3 linked regions of the Cricetulus griseus genome follow. The protein of the gene in region 2 interacts with the protein of the main gene of each other region in a biochemical or structural test. Links are inferred from orthologs where the notes say so. Each region holds a gene or a part of one and is shown on either strand. Other genes may lie near its edges.

The links.
Region 1: the proteins of Sp1 (region 2) and Klf10 form a complex in vitro, tested with the Homo sapiens proteins (2 studies listed by BioGRID). The link is inferred for Cricetulus griseus from reciprocal best matches to the Homo sapiens genes SP1 and KLF10.
Region 3: the proteins of Sp1 (region 2) and Rnf4 form a complex in vitro, tested with the Homo sapiens proteins (2 studies listed by BioGRID, with this or other methods). The link is inferred for Cricetulus griseus from reciprocal best matches to the Homo sapiens genes SP1 and RNF4.

Annotation. Positions count from the first base shown.
Region 1 is NC_048603.1:13,386,678-13,390,422, reverse strand, and holds the start of Klf10 (Krueppel-like factor 10), read right to left. Parts: upstream 2,226-3,745; 5' UTR 2,089-2,225; coding exon 2,053-2,088; intron 419-2,052; exon of another isoform or gene 225-418; intron 64-224; exon of another isoform or gene 1-63.
Region 2 is NC_048595.1:398,784,194-398,787,938, reverse strand, and holds the start of Sp1 (transcription factor Sp1), read right to left. Parts: upstream 2,806-3,745; 5' UTR 2,558-2,805; coding exon 2,551-2,557; intron 2,115-2,550; exon of another isoform or gene 1,978-2,114; intron 840-1,977; coding exon 682-839; intron 396-681; coding exon 1-395. UniProt on the Homo sapiens protein: Transcription factor that can activate or repress transcription in response to physiological and pathological stimuli.
Region 3 is NW_023276807.1:103,330,552-103,334,196, reverse strand, and holds part of Rnf4 (E3 ubiquitin-protein ligase RNF4), read right to left. Parts: intron 463-3,645; coding exon 336-462; intron 1-335. UniProt on the Homo sapiens protein: E3 ubiquitin-protein ligase which binds polysumoylated chains covalently attached to proteins and mediates 'Lys-6'-, 'Lys-11'-, 'Lys-48'- and 'Lys-63'-linked polyubiquitination of those substrates and their subsequent targeting to the proteasome for degradation.

The sequences.
Region 1 (3,745 bases), on a different chromosome or scaffold from region 2:
AAGCAGAGACAGAGGGCAAGAGTTCAAGGCCAGCTTTGGCTATATATCAAGTTCAGGACCAGCCTCACTCACTCAAAAAAAAAAAAAAAAAAGACAGAGCAAAAAGCTAATAAAGAAAATGAAATTGTAAAGACAGGCTTAAAGCTTTTTTTTTTTAATGTCTCTCTTCCCTTAGAGAGAGTGTGTGTGTGGGGGGGAGACACTGTTCTTGAAACATCACTAACAATGCAAATTGCATAATCGTCCGCGCCTTTATGTAAGCTGCCAGGCACGGAGTAATCTAAGTGTAAAAAGCCTCTAGGCACCGACGCGAAGAAAGGGGTGGTGGGGGAAAAAAAGGCAGGCAGCAGGCAGGCAGGGGTGAAGAATGTGCGCCGGGAAGGGAAGCCGGGAGGGGAGCAGCGAGCCGGTGCTGCTGCGAGGCAGGAAAGGGAAGCCGGGCGGGGGCGGGCGGCGCGAGCGGGGCGGGGCGGCGGAGGCCGGCCGGCGGGGGAGATCCTCGCTGGCGGGGACCAACCGATGGGTCCGCCCTCATCTCATGAGGCTGGCGGGTGTGAGTCACCGGGCCCGCCCCTGCCATTGGCCAGCCCGCGCCCGATTGGCTGGGCGGCCCGGGGCGGGGGCGCAGGGGGGAGGGGCGCGAGGCATGTGTGAACAAAGCGTGATCAGCGGCTGCTCGGGCCGGCGCAGGAAACGTGACCTGGGGATTGCCGCGCCGTCACCTTTCCCCTACTTCCTGAGCGGCCCGCCCCCCCCCCCCCGCCCGCCCTCCCGCTCGGCTCGCCCTCCCTGCTCGCCTCCCGCCGCCTGCCGGGGAGGGGGGGCCGCGGGCGCCGCCACCGCCAACCGCTCGCCAGTGCGCACCGGGCGGCGCCCGCCCCTTCCACCTCCCCCGAGCCGCGGTTCCCTTAGGAACCGACAGCGGGGCCGGGCTCGCTCCCGCCCCTGCCTCTGCCCCTGCCTGGCGGAGGCCGCGGCCGGGTCACCCGGGGACGAGGAGCTCCCGGGGTGCACCCTCTCGCCGCCCAGCCCGGCCTCCAGCTGCGGGAGGGAGGGAGAGAGGAGGAGCCGCCGCCGGGTCCCCGCGGAAGCCCAGCCGCCGCCGCCCTCCTCCCGGGAGCGGCTGCTCGCCCGCTCGCCCGGTGCGCTCCGCCCACCCTGCCCCCCGGGACCTCGTTCCACCCGCGTCCCCTGCGCCCCCCTCGCCGCCTCTTCCCGGCCCGGGCGAGCCGTGTTCTCCGCAGGCTCCCAGACGTGCGGCGCCCACGGGCTCCGCGGCTCCCGTCTCGACAACGCGCGCGCGCGCGCGGCCCCCGCGTCTCGCGGTCCCCGCTCCCTCGCCCAGCTGTCGGCGGGGCCCTGTCCCCCACCCCCACCCCACCCCGTGTCGGGGAGTCATCCACAGGCGTCCACCTGCCTCTCCAGCCCGGGATGGGGGGTCCCCTCCCGACGCCCGCTCGCCGGGGGTGCCATCCATCTATGCATGCATGCATCCATCCATCCATCCCCCGCGCCCCACCGCCGGCCAGACAGACAGCCGTCCCCTCCCCCCAGCCCGGGCCAGCCCAGCCGTGCGGTCCCCACCTGGCAGCGCGCGCCCACCCGCCCATCCCGCTCCCTCCCCGACGAGCAGGCGCCCGCCCCCCGGGCAGCAGACGGCTCCTGCGCTCCCGGTGCAGACGGGGGCATCTCCCGCCAGTGCCAGGTGCAGGGCGCCCCCCGGGGAGGCTGCAGCAACCCCTCCACCTCCCGCTTGCTCTCCTGCTCGCCCGGGTGTCCCCGAGACACCCTCCCCCCCTTTTCCTTGTCCCCTGGACACCCAGGCTGGCACAGGATCGCCTGCTCTGGTCCAGGTCCCCCCTCCTGCGCACATGCCCTCGATGGCCTCCCCAGACTGCAGGCAGGACACCCTGGCAAGTCCCCGCTGCTGCAGCCGGGGTCCTCAGGCGTGGCTGATGCGGGGACTCGGGCTTCGCGCCCCCCACCCACCTACCCACCCACGGCTGGCTCGGCGACCCTGGGCGGGAGGGCGAGCATCCCCAGGTGACTCACCGATGCTTGCTGGAGAGAGGCGCCGAAGTTGAGCATGGCTGGGTGGGTGGCGGGCGAGGCGCCTGCGAGCTGAGCTGCTGCCGGCTGCCTGGGCACAGACGGCGGGCGAGCGCACCGAGACTCGAGACGTCGACGCCGCCGCGCTCCGCGCCGTCTGCCCCCCTCCCCATTCAGGTAGCCGCTCTGCCTGCCCCGCGCCGCGGGGCGGGGGCGGGGGCCGGGGGCGGGGCCTGGCCCCGGCCAATCAGCGGCAAAGGTGTGTGAGGCTGCAGCCAATGGGCTCTCGGGGCCACGCGTGATCAGCGGCTGCCCGGCGGCAGGAGGCTCTGTCAGCCGAGCGTGTACACAACCCCCGGGGCGCCGCGCCCTCCCCCGGGGAACTCCCGGGACCACCTGACTCCGGGACGCCCCTCGCCCACCCCCACCCCACCCCCCCCCCGGCTTCCCGTCCCGACCGGGCGCGCCGGGGCGGCCGCCGCGCGGCGGGGACATCACAGGGGGGCGCGGTGGCGGCGGGAGGCATCCAGGCTTTGGGGAGAGCCCACGTGGGGGGTGGGGAGGGGGAGGGAAGCCCGCCCCGCCCTGTCCCCTTCGCGCCCGCCAGGGAGTGGGCGGGACCCCGGGCGAGCCGGGGAGGCGGGGGCTGCGAGCGCGGGGCTGAGCCCGGAGACTGCCTCTGGCAGGCAGCGCGGTCCTCGTGGGTCTGGCGTGGCGGGAGAGCCGCCGGGTGGATCGCACCGAGCGGGCGGGAGAGCCAGGGCGAGCCGCCGGGTGGACCGCACCGAGCGGGCGGGAGAATCAGGGCGAGCCGCCGTGGGGGAAATCGCACCGAGCCGGGTGGACCAGGGCGAGCCGCCGGCTGGACCGAACCGAGCGGCGGGAGAACCAGGGCGAGCCGCCGGTGGGGGAGGGGGCTGTCACGGAGCAGACACCTGCTCGCACTCCACGCCCACGCCCAGGCGGCTGGCGCTAGCTCGCCCTCCCATCTGCGGCACAGGCACCGGCGGGGCGTCCCCTCCCGTCCTTCCTCAGGGGCGCCCGCGGCGGGGGGGGGGGCACCCGGGAAGCTCGTCCCACAGGACTCGCGGGGTGTCCCGGTGCCCCAGACCCGAGCGCTCGGTGGCAGGGTCGAGTTTGAGCTGGGTGCCTTTAGGAGTTTAAAATAGAGCGTGCGAGCCCTTTCCGAGGCGTGTCCGGGGGTGGGGCTCTTGCCCCGGCCCCCACCCCTCCCTCCCGGGGTCGGGGGCAGGGAAGCCGCCCCGGGCAGCAGCTGGGGAGGGGGGGTACTGTGGGCTCCGGGCCCGGGGCTCCTCCTGGGCCCCCACCCCGCCCTCCTTGACCGTTGTGCGGGTTCGGGGTAGCTGTTGGAGCCGGAGGCAGCGATAGCGGGGCTTAAAGCAAACTAGAGATTTTCATCTCCTCTCCTGGGCAGGCGGCGGGGTCGTGAGAGCAAAGTCTCAGCGCGCCCCCCGCCCCGCTACCCCACACCCCCTGCGGGCTTTCTCAGCTCACGCTGCCCTTCGCCAGTCACCGCCGCGCGGGTGCCGGAGGGGAACTGTCGCAGAGGCAGCCAACCCCACCACCACCACCACCACCACCATCATCTCCTGGTTCCTCGTGGTGGTGGCGGTGGTGGTGTACCTAAAGTCAGATGGCAGCAGGAGTGACGATAATCCCACCGGCCAGAGAGGCC
Region 2 (3,745 bases):
TGCTGCCCATCAACAGTCTGGAACTGTGGGATTACTTGATACTGAATATTAGGCATTACTCCAGGTAGACCTGTCAGAACTTGCTGGTTTTGTAAGTTGGGGGTAGCAGCCACAACATACTGCCCACCAGAGACTGTACGATTCTTGGAAGACTCGCTGCCATTGCTGCCATTGGTACTGTTGCCACTCTGTTCCTTTGAGGTAGGGGTAGCCCCAGAGGAGGAAGAGATGATCTGCCAGCCATTGGCACCCTGTGAAAGTTGTGTGGCTGTGAGGTCAAGTTCACCTGTGCCCCCTGACTGACTCGGACCCTGGGAGTTGTTGCTGTTCTCATTGGGTGACTCAATTCTGCTGCAGGTTGCTGCCAGCAGAGCCAAAGGAGATGGCTGGGATTCCTGGCCAGAAGAGAGGAAAGGAGTTAGTGGCACCCAATAGCCTGCCTAGGGGGCAGTATTCAACAGACAAACAGCAACAATGCAGGCATATAAAGAGCAAAAACCAGAAATAAAATGCTGACTTTTGTGTACTGTTCCAACTTTCTTATTTGGGGACCCTCTAGATCATCTATCTTTCTGTGTGTACTTCACTACTGTATTTTTTTTCTCCCAGCTTTTTGATTAAGGAACTTTCTAAGAATATTTACACCCTCAACACCTTCCCCACCTTTGACTGATCACTCACCTGCCCTCCTCCGACACCACTGCTGCTGCTACTGCCTGTGCTGCTGCTCCGAGTCTGAGAAAAAGATGCACCACCACCATTACCGTTACCCCCGTTATTGCCACCAACACCTTTTTCAATCTTCACGGCTGTCACTTCATCCATGGAGTGATCTTGATCTAAAAATAATTACAAAACAATAACTTAAAGTGGAAGAAGGAGAAAAAAAATCACCCAAAGGTTTAAAATAAGGCTCTGATAACCAGCCTAATGACTAATAGAATGTTTAAAAGCAGAGTAAAAAAGGAAATAGGGCCAGATATAGATATGGTGATAGGCCTGAAATCTCAGAATTTGGAAGTGGAGGCAAGAGGGACATGGAGGCAAGAGAAATAAGAGTTCAAAGAAATTTTCAGTTACATCAGTTGAGATGCCAGCATCTCATGCCAGGCATGCAGAACAGGCATGTGCCTCAATGGTGTCCAAGATGGGCCACTATTTCCCCATGTACAAAATTAAAGTCAAAAACCATTCAAAAAGCGCTTTGGGCTGGGCAGTGGTGGCGCACGCCTTTAATCCCAGCACTCCGTAGGCAGAGGCAGGTGGATCACTCTGAGTTTGAGACCAGCCTGGTCTACAAGAGCTAGTTCCAGGACAGCCTCCAAAGCCACAGGGAAACCCTGTCTTAAAAAACCAAAAAGAAAGCGCTTTCGAGCTGGATGGTGGTGGTGGCAGCAGTGAAGGCACACACCTTTAATCCCAGCACTTAGGAGGCGGAGGCAGGCAGATCTCTGTGACTTCAAGGCCAGCCTAGTCTGCAGAGTGAATTCCAGGACAGCCTTCAAAGCCACAGAGAAACCGTGTCTCAAACCCCCATCCCCACCCCCACCCCCCAAAAAAGTGCTTTGGAAGCCAGGCATGGTGACTCACACCTGTTCATCAGTTCTAAGTCTATCTGGACTAGAGTGAGACCTGGCCTTAAACAAGACAAATAGCATTTCTGAAAAAGGGAATTTGAGGGCAGTATCTCAGGAATACTAGTTGCCCCTAGTGTTGGCATGGCACACTCTGTAATCTCAGCACTCAGGAGGAAGAGGCATGAGGATGGCTAAAAGTTTAAGGCCAGCCTGGTTTTCATAGTACCACACAGACCCTGTCTCAAAAGTAAAAAAAAAAAAGCATTCTGGGAGGAAGAAGAGACCCAACATGTGGTTGGATGGAAAAATGTGCTAAAATTAGGATTAAGAGAGATGGAGAAAGACCAAGTGTAAAGCTAAATAAATAAAAACAGGAACAGACAGAGTACATCATAAGTACCGATAGGGACACTTCTGAGGATACAGGTAAGGGGCTAAAGTGGTCTAGGGCTTAGAACCCAGGTTTGGGGCTGAGAGGGCGGGCCTTAGAAGGAAGGGGCGTTTTCGGGGTGAGGGGCGTGGAAAGGGCGGGTCAGATGGGGGAAGGGAAATGTTCGGGGGTGCGGGGGAGGGCCTGGGGCAGGCAGTGACCGGAGGGCGGACCGGGGAGGCGGTTGGCCCAGGCGGGGCCTGCACTGGTCGGGCCGCCCCCGCGGCGCCAGCCCCCGACGGGAGGAGCCTCAGGCGGCAGGCCGAGTAGTGGGGGGTAAGGCCCGTCCCCCGTGGCCGGGGCGGGCAGGGGGCGGGCGAGGCCACGCTGCCCCCTCCCCCGGGGCGGGTGGCCCATCCCCCTCCTCCTCCGAGGCCCCGCGACTGCCCCTTCTCCCTCCCTTCCCTCCGCCCCGGGCGGGACCAAGGCCGCCGCCGCCGCCTCCCGCCCGCCCCCCCTCACAGCGGGGACCGCCCGGTCGGCCCTCGCGCGCGCCCCCTCACTCCCCTCCCACCCCTAGGCATGGAGTGGACTCATCCTTACCGCTCATGGTGGCAGCTGAGGGGCGAGCTCAAGGGGGTCCTGTCCGGGGGGGTTGGGGGGGGCCAGGAAAAACGCGGACGCTGACGAGGCAAGCGAACCCGGACCGGACAGGGAGGGGGGGTAAGGAGGAGGGAGCAGCGCGCCACAAGCCCGGCCTAGTCTCCGCCCCTTATCTGCTGCCCCGCCCAATGAAGGAGGGAGAAAGGAGAGCCTTGCAGTAGAAAGGCGGGCAGACGACCCAATGGGAAGACTCGTTCCCTCGCAAAGGCGGGTAAGACCAACTTGCGTGCTGGTGTCCGCCTTAAAAGGCCGCCCTCTCAGCTCTAACAGCCAATAAAAGCTTCAGGAAGTGAGAGTGGGCGGGACATAAGGAAGATCGACTTGGAGAGAAACCAGTGATTCGCCGGGCGGGCTCCGTGAACGGTGGTGATAGGACGAGCTTAGGAAGGAGTGACAGGACAAGGACCAATTAGAATCTTGAGCATGCCGGGGCAAAGTCCGTTTAGTAGGAGAGTAAGAAATAGGCCGGAATGGGATAGGATCAAGCTATCTAAACCAATCAGGATTCAGGCGGGCAGTTAAGAAAGTTCTGATTGGTCAATAACTGAGACGATCCGGAACAGGATGCATATTGACATGAGCTCACAGCCAATTAGACGCCGAATAAAAGGCGAAGGCTGGAACTTGGAATGGGGAGAGGAGACCTGGCTTCCTCCTCAGATACTCAGGCCAATGAGGGGAAGAAAAAGCCCTGGCACCGCCTCTAGCTTGGCCAATGGTCGTTTGTGGGGCCGCCCATCGTGAGGAGGGAACAGGGGCTGTGCCAAAAGGAGTTCGTCGCCATGTTGGCCCTGCTCGGGAGACTTCCTTACGTCGTTAGGTTGTACACTCCAGCTGAGCCCTGCAGCTCTACAAGTGTCCCTGCCGAGGCGGGCGAGCGCCGCGTGTTTCGCCACACGGGATCGCTCCAGTTTTCACATCTCGCACCCGACACCCTCTCGAATCCCACCCCTGCAGGGGTGGGTGGGCGGCTCCCCCTGGCCGTGGGTGGAAGCCCTGCGGCGGCGGGCGGGACGAGAGCTTGGTGACGGCCCTCGAGAGCTCAGTCAGTTCTGAGCTCACCAATATGGAAGGCTTTCGGGAAACTCTAGCAAACGCCATTTTCTTAAGCTGTCCCGAACGCGCTAAGTCGAGG
Region 3 (3,645 bases), on a different chromosome or scaffold from region 2:
CAGAAGGTGTGACCTGGGGCTAGAGAGATAGTTTAGAGGTTATCAATATTACTACTCTTGTAAAAGACTGAAGTTCAGTTCCCAGTATGCACAGGGCAGCTCACAACCATCTTTAACTCCAGTTCCAGGGAATATAATGACTTCTGACCTCTGTGTGCACTAGACACACATGTAGTGCACAGACATATATTCAGGAATACATATGAAATGGGGGGGGTGGCGACTTTCCATGAGGCCCCACATGGGCATTAATAGACACAAACTGGGTCTAATTCACATGCTATACTACACTGTCTCCACTGTCACACATTACAGTTCAGGATTCTGGCTCTTACCACTTTCCACGAGTTCTATGGGTTCTGCTTCCAAGGAAATCTCAGGGGTTGAAGTTGTTTCCCGAGAACGCTTCTGGGTTTGTCTAGAACTTACTGTTCCACCACGACGTTTTCTTTGAGGATTTCTCTAAGGTCATCAAGGGGGAAAAGAAGCAGTTGCATGAGCTCCAGATTTGACAGGGTTTCAGGAAGAGTTAAGAAGTCAACAGGGGAATGGTGTTAATACCCCCTCATATCTCCCCCCCTCTTTCTCTCTCTCTCTCTCTCACACACACACGCGCGCGCGTGCGCACACACACACACACACACACACACACACACACACACACACACACACACACACACACACGGCATGCATAACACACCACACCCACAAACTTGTAGCACCTCTGAAGCAGAAAGAAAAAGAAAATCCAGTGCTTTTTTGTTGTTTCTGCCTGATAAAAGGTCTTGCTGTGTAGCCCCAGCTCTTCCAGAACTCAAGAGATCTGCCTGTATCTGCCTCCAGAGTGCTGGGATTAAAGGTTTGTGTCACCATGTTCAGCTCAGAGTGCTATTTTTATACCCAGTAAGAAACTTTTACTGTTCCCAAACACTTCTGAATTTTAATCATATGTGCAACCTTGAAGAAGGTGCTCTGTCAGTAAGGAGTAAAGAAAGGTCAAAAGACCTTTAGGCAACCTTCTCTAGACCAACCAACACTTTGGGAGACTGGGCAAGAGGATCTATGTGAGTTCAAAAGCACCCTGGTCTACATAGTAAGTTCCAAGCCAGACAGTGCTATATAGTGACACCCTATCTCAATCATTCAATTGTAATAAAAACAAGTTCCAAGCAGTGGTGGCATGTGCCTTTCATCCCAGCACTCTGAGAGGCAGGAAGATCTCTGTGAATTCAAGGCCAGCCTGGTCTACAGAGAAACCCTGTCTCAAGAAAACAAACAAGGGGCTGAGAAGATAGCAATTCCTGGCACCCATGTGGCAGTTCACAACTGTCTCTAATTCTAGTTCCAAAGTATTGGACACCCTTACACAGACATTCGTGCAGGAAAAACGCCAATGTATATAAAATAAAAATACTTAAGTCATTAGAAAAAAGAAACCAACCAAAAAACCAAACCAAAACAAGCAAGCAAACAAACATATTCAACTATGGTTTGCAATCCCATGTATGGTCACATAACTAAATGGGGGAAGATGGGCTGTGAAAAAATATTTGCAACAGCAACATGTTTTCTGAACCTACAAAGACCAAATATTAATTCAAGACCAAATGCACCAAGAACTATTATTTTTCATATTATCTGTCCATGTTGCAGCTTATGACTTCACTACAGCTTTGGTTCTGAACACAACTCAAACTTACAGAGAACATGATGTCATGTCACACAATGCCAACACCTACTGCATATATTTTTTATTCTTACAGAAAGAGAATGGTTTAATTACAAACAAGATTTGTAGCATTTTCTTACCATTATTCTTCAGCATATAATTATCACCCAGTACATTCTTAGATTACACTGCTCTAGTATATTTTGCTTTTTTTCTTTTTCTCAAGATAGGTTTTCTCTGTGTATCAGCCCTGGCTGTCCTGGGACTTGCTTTGTAGATCAGGCTGGCCTGGAACTCACAAAGATCCTCTTGCCTCTGCCTCCTGAGTACTGGGACTAAAGGTGAGCACTACTACCTCTGTGTTTGATACTTTAAAACATGCCTTTAGAAATCCAGAGGCACAGTCAGCTGATCTTTGGAGTTACATGATAGTCAAGGATACATAGAAGACCTTACTTCAAAAACAAAAAAACAAAATCTGTGTAAATTAATGAGTTTCATAAAAAAGTCAATCAAATCAATTTTGGTTTGGGGTTAGGACAGAAGCTCCAATGTTTCTGAAATGGCCATAAATACTACACATTTATTTGAAGTGGCATTCTTAGAAATGCTGATCATGAAATCAAAATACTAGCTGGGCATGCCTTTAAATTGCATGCAGTGCTCAGAAAGCAGAGCTAAAAAATACCAAAGATCTATATAAACGGTCAGTCAAATTTTACCTTTTTTTGCTTTTTAAGAGAGGGTTTCTCTGTGTATGTAGCCCTGGCTATCCTGGAACTGGTTCTATAGACCAGACTGGCCTTGAACTCATTGATCTGCCTCCCGAGTGCATACCAACATGCATGGCTAATTCACTCTTTTTTCCTTTAAACATTTGTGTACATGCATGTACTTGTGCTACTATGCTTAAATGAAACTAGACGACAGTTTTTGGCAATCAATTCTCTCCTTCTACCATTTAGGGTCTAGAGACCAAGCTCAGGTTGTCAAGACTTGTCAGTAAGCACCTTACCTGATAACCGTCTTGCCAGACCAAGATTGATTCTTTATATAAGAGTATCTACCTCATTAACATATAATTTACTTTCATCTTAGTAAATAGTAATAATTTTTTAAAATTAAACATGATTTATTAATACTTGATCTGCTTGTGCATCTACATTACTACCTGAGGTCATAAAAATTTCCCCAAAGAAAAAAATTACAAGTAGAAAAAGTTCAGGATGCCTTACTCTAGAGCCCAAGCACCTCCAGTCTTTATCTGTCTTGCACTGAACCAAAGCTGATTCCCAGAGTAAAAGTGAAAATAGTCATTCTTTATTTTTTTTTTCATTTTATATACACGAATATTTCACCTGCATGCATGAATGTCTGTGTACCATTTCCAGGCCTGTAAAGGCCAGAAGAGACACAAAATCTTTAGAATTGGGAGTTACAAGCAATTCTGTGTTGCCATGTGAGTGCTGGGAACTGCATCCAGGTCCCCTAGAAGAACAGCAAATACTCTTGGCCTCTGAGCCATATATCCCTAGATCCAGTTTTTTGTTTGTTTGGGTTTTTTGAGACAGGGTTTCTCTACTTAGCCCTGGCTGTCCTGGAACTCAATAGACCAGGCTGGCCTTGAACTCAGAGATCCACTAGCCGCTGCTCCTGAGTGCTGGGATTAATGGCATGTGCCACCACCCACCCAGCCCTAGACTCAAGTTTGGTTTTGTTTTTTTTAAGCTTTGTCCCTGTGGAGCATGACTTTTTGTTTTGTTTTTAATTTTTATTTTATGTGCATTGTTATGAATGAGGGTGTCAGATCCCCTGGAATTGGAGGTACAGACAGTTGTCAGCTGCCATGTGGGCACTGAAAAATGAAAATGAATTCAGGGCCTCTAGAAGAGCAGCCAGTGAGTGCTCTTAACCACTGAGCCATCTCTCTAGCCCTCCAGACACAGCTTTAAAATTCTATTTAAATATTTTATTTT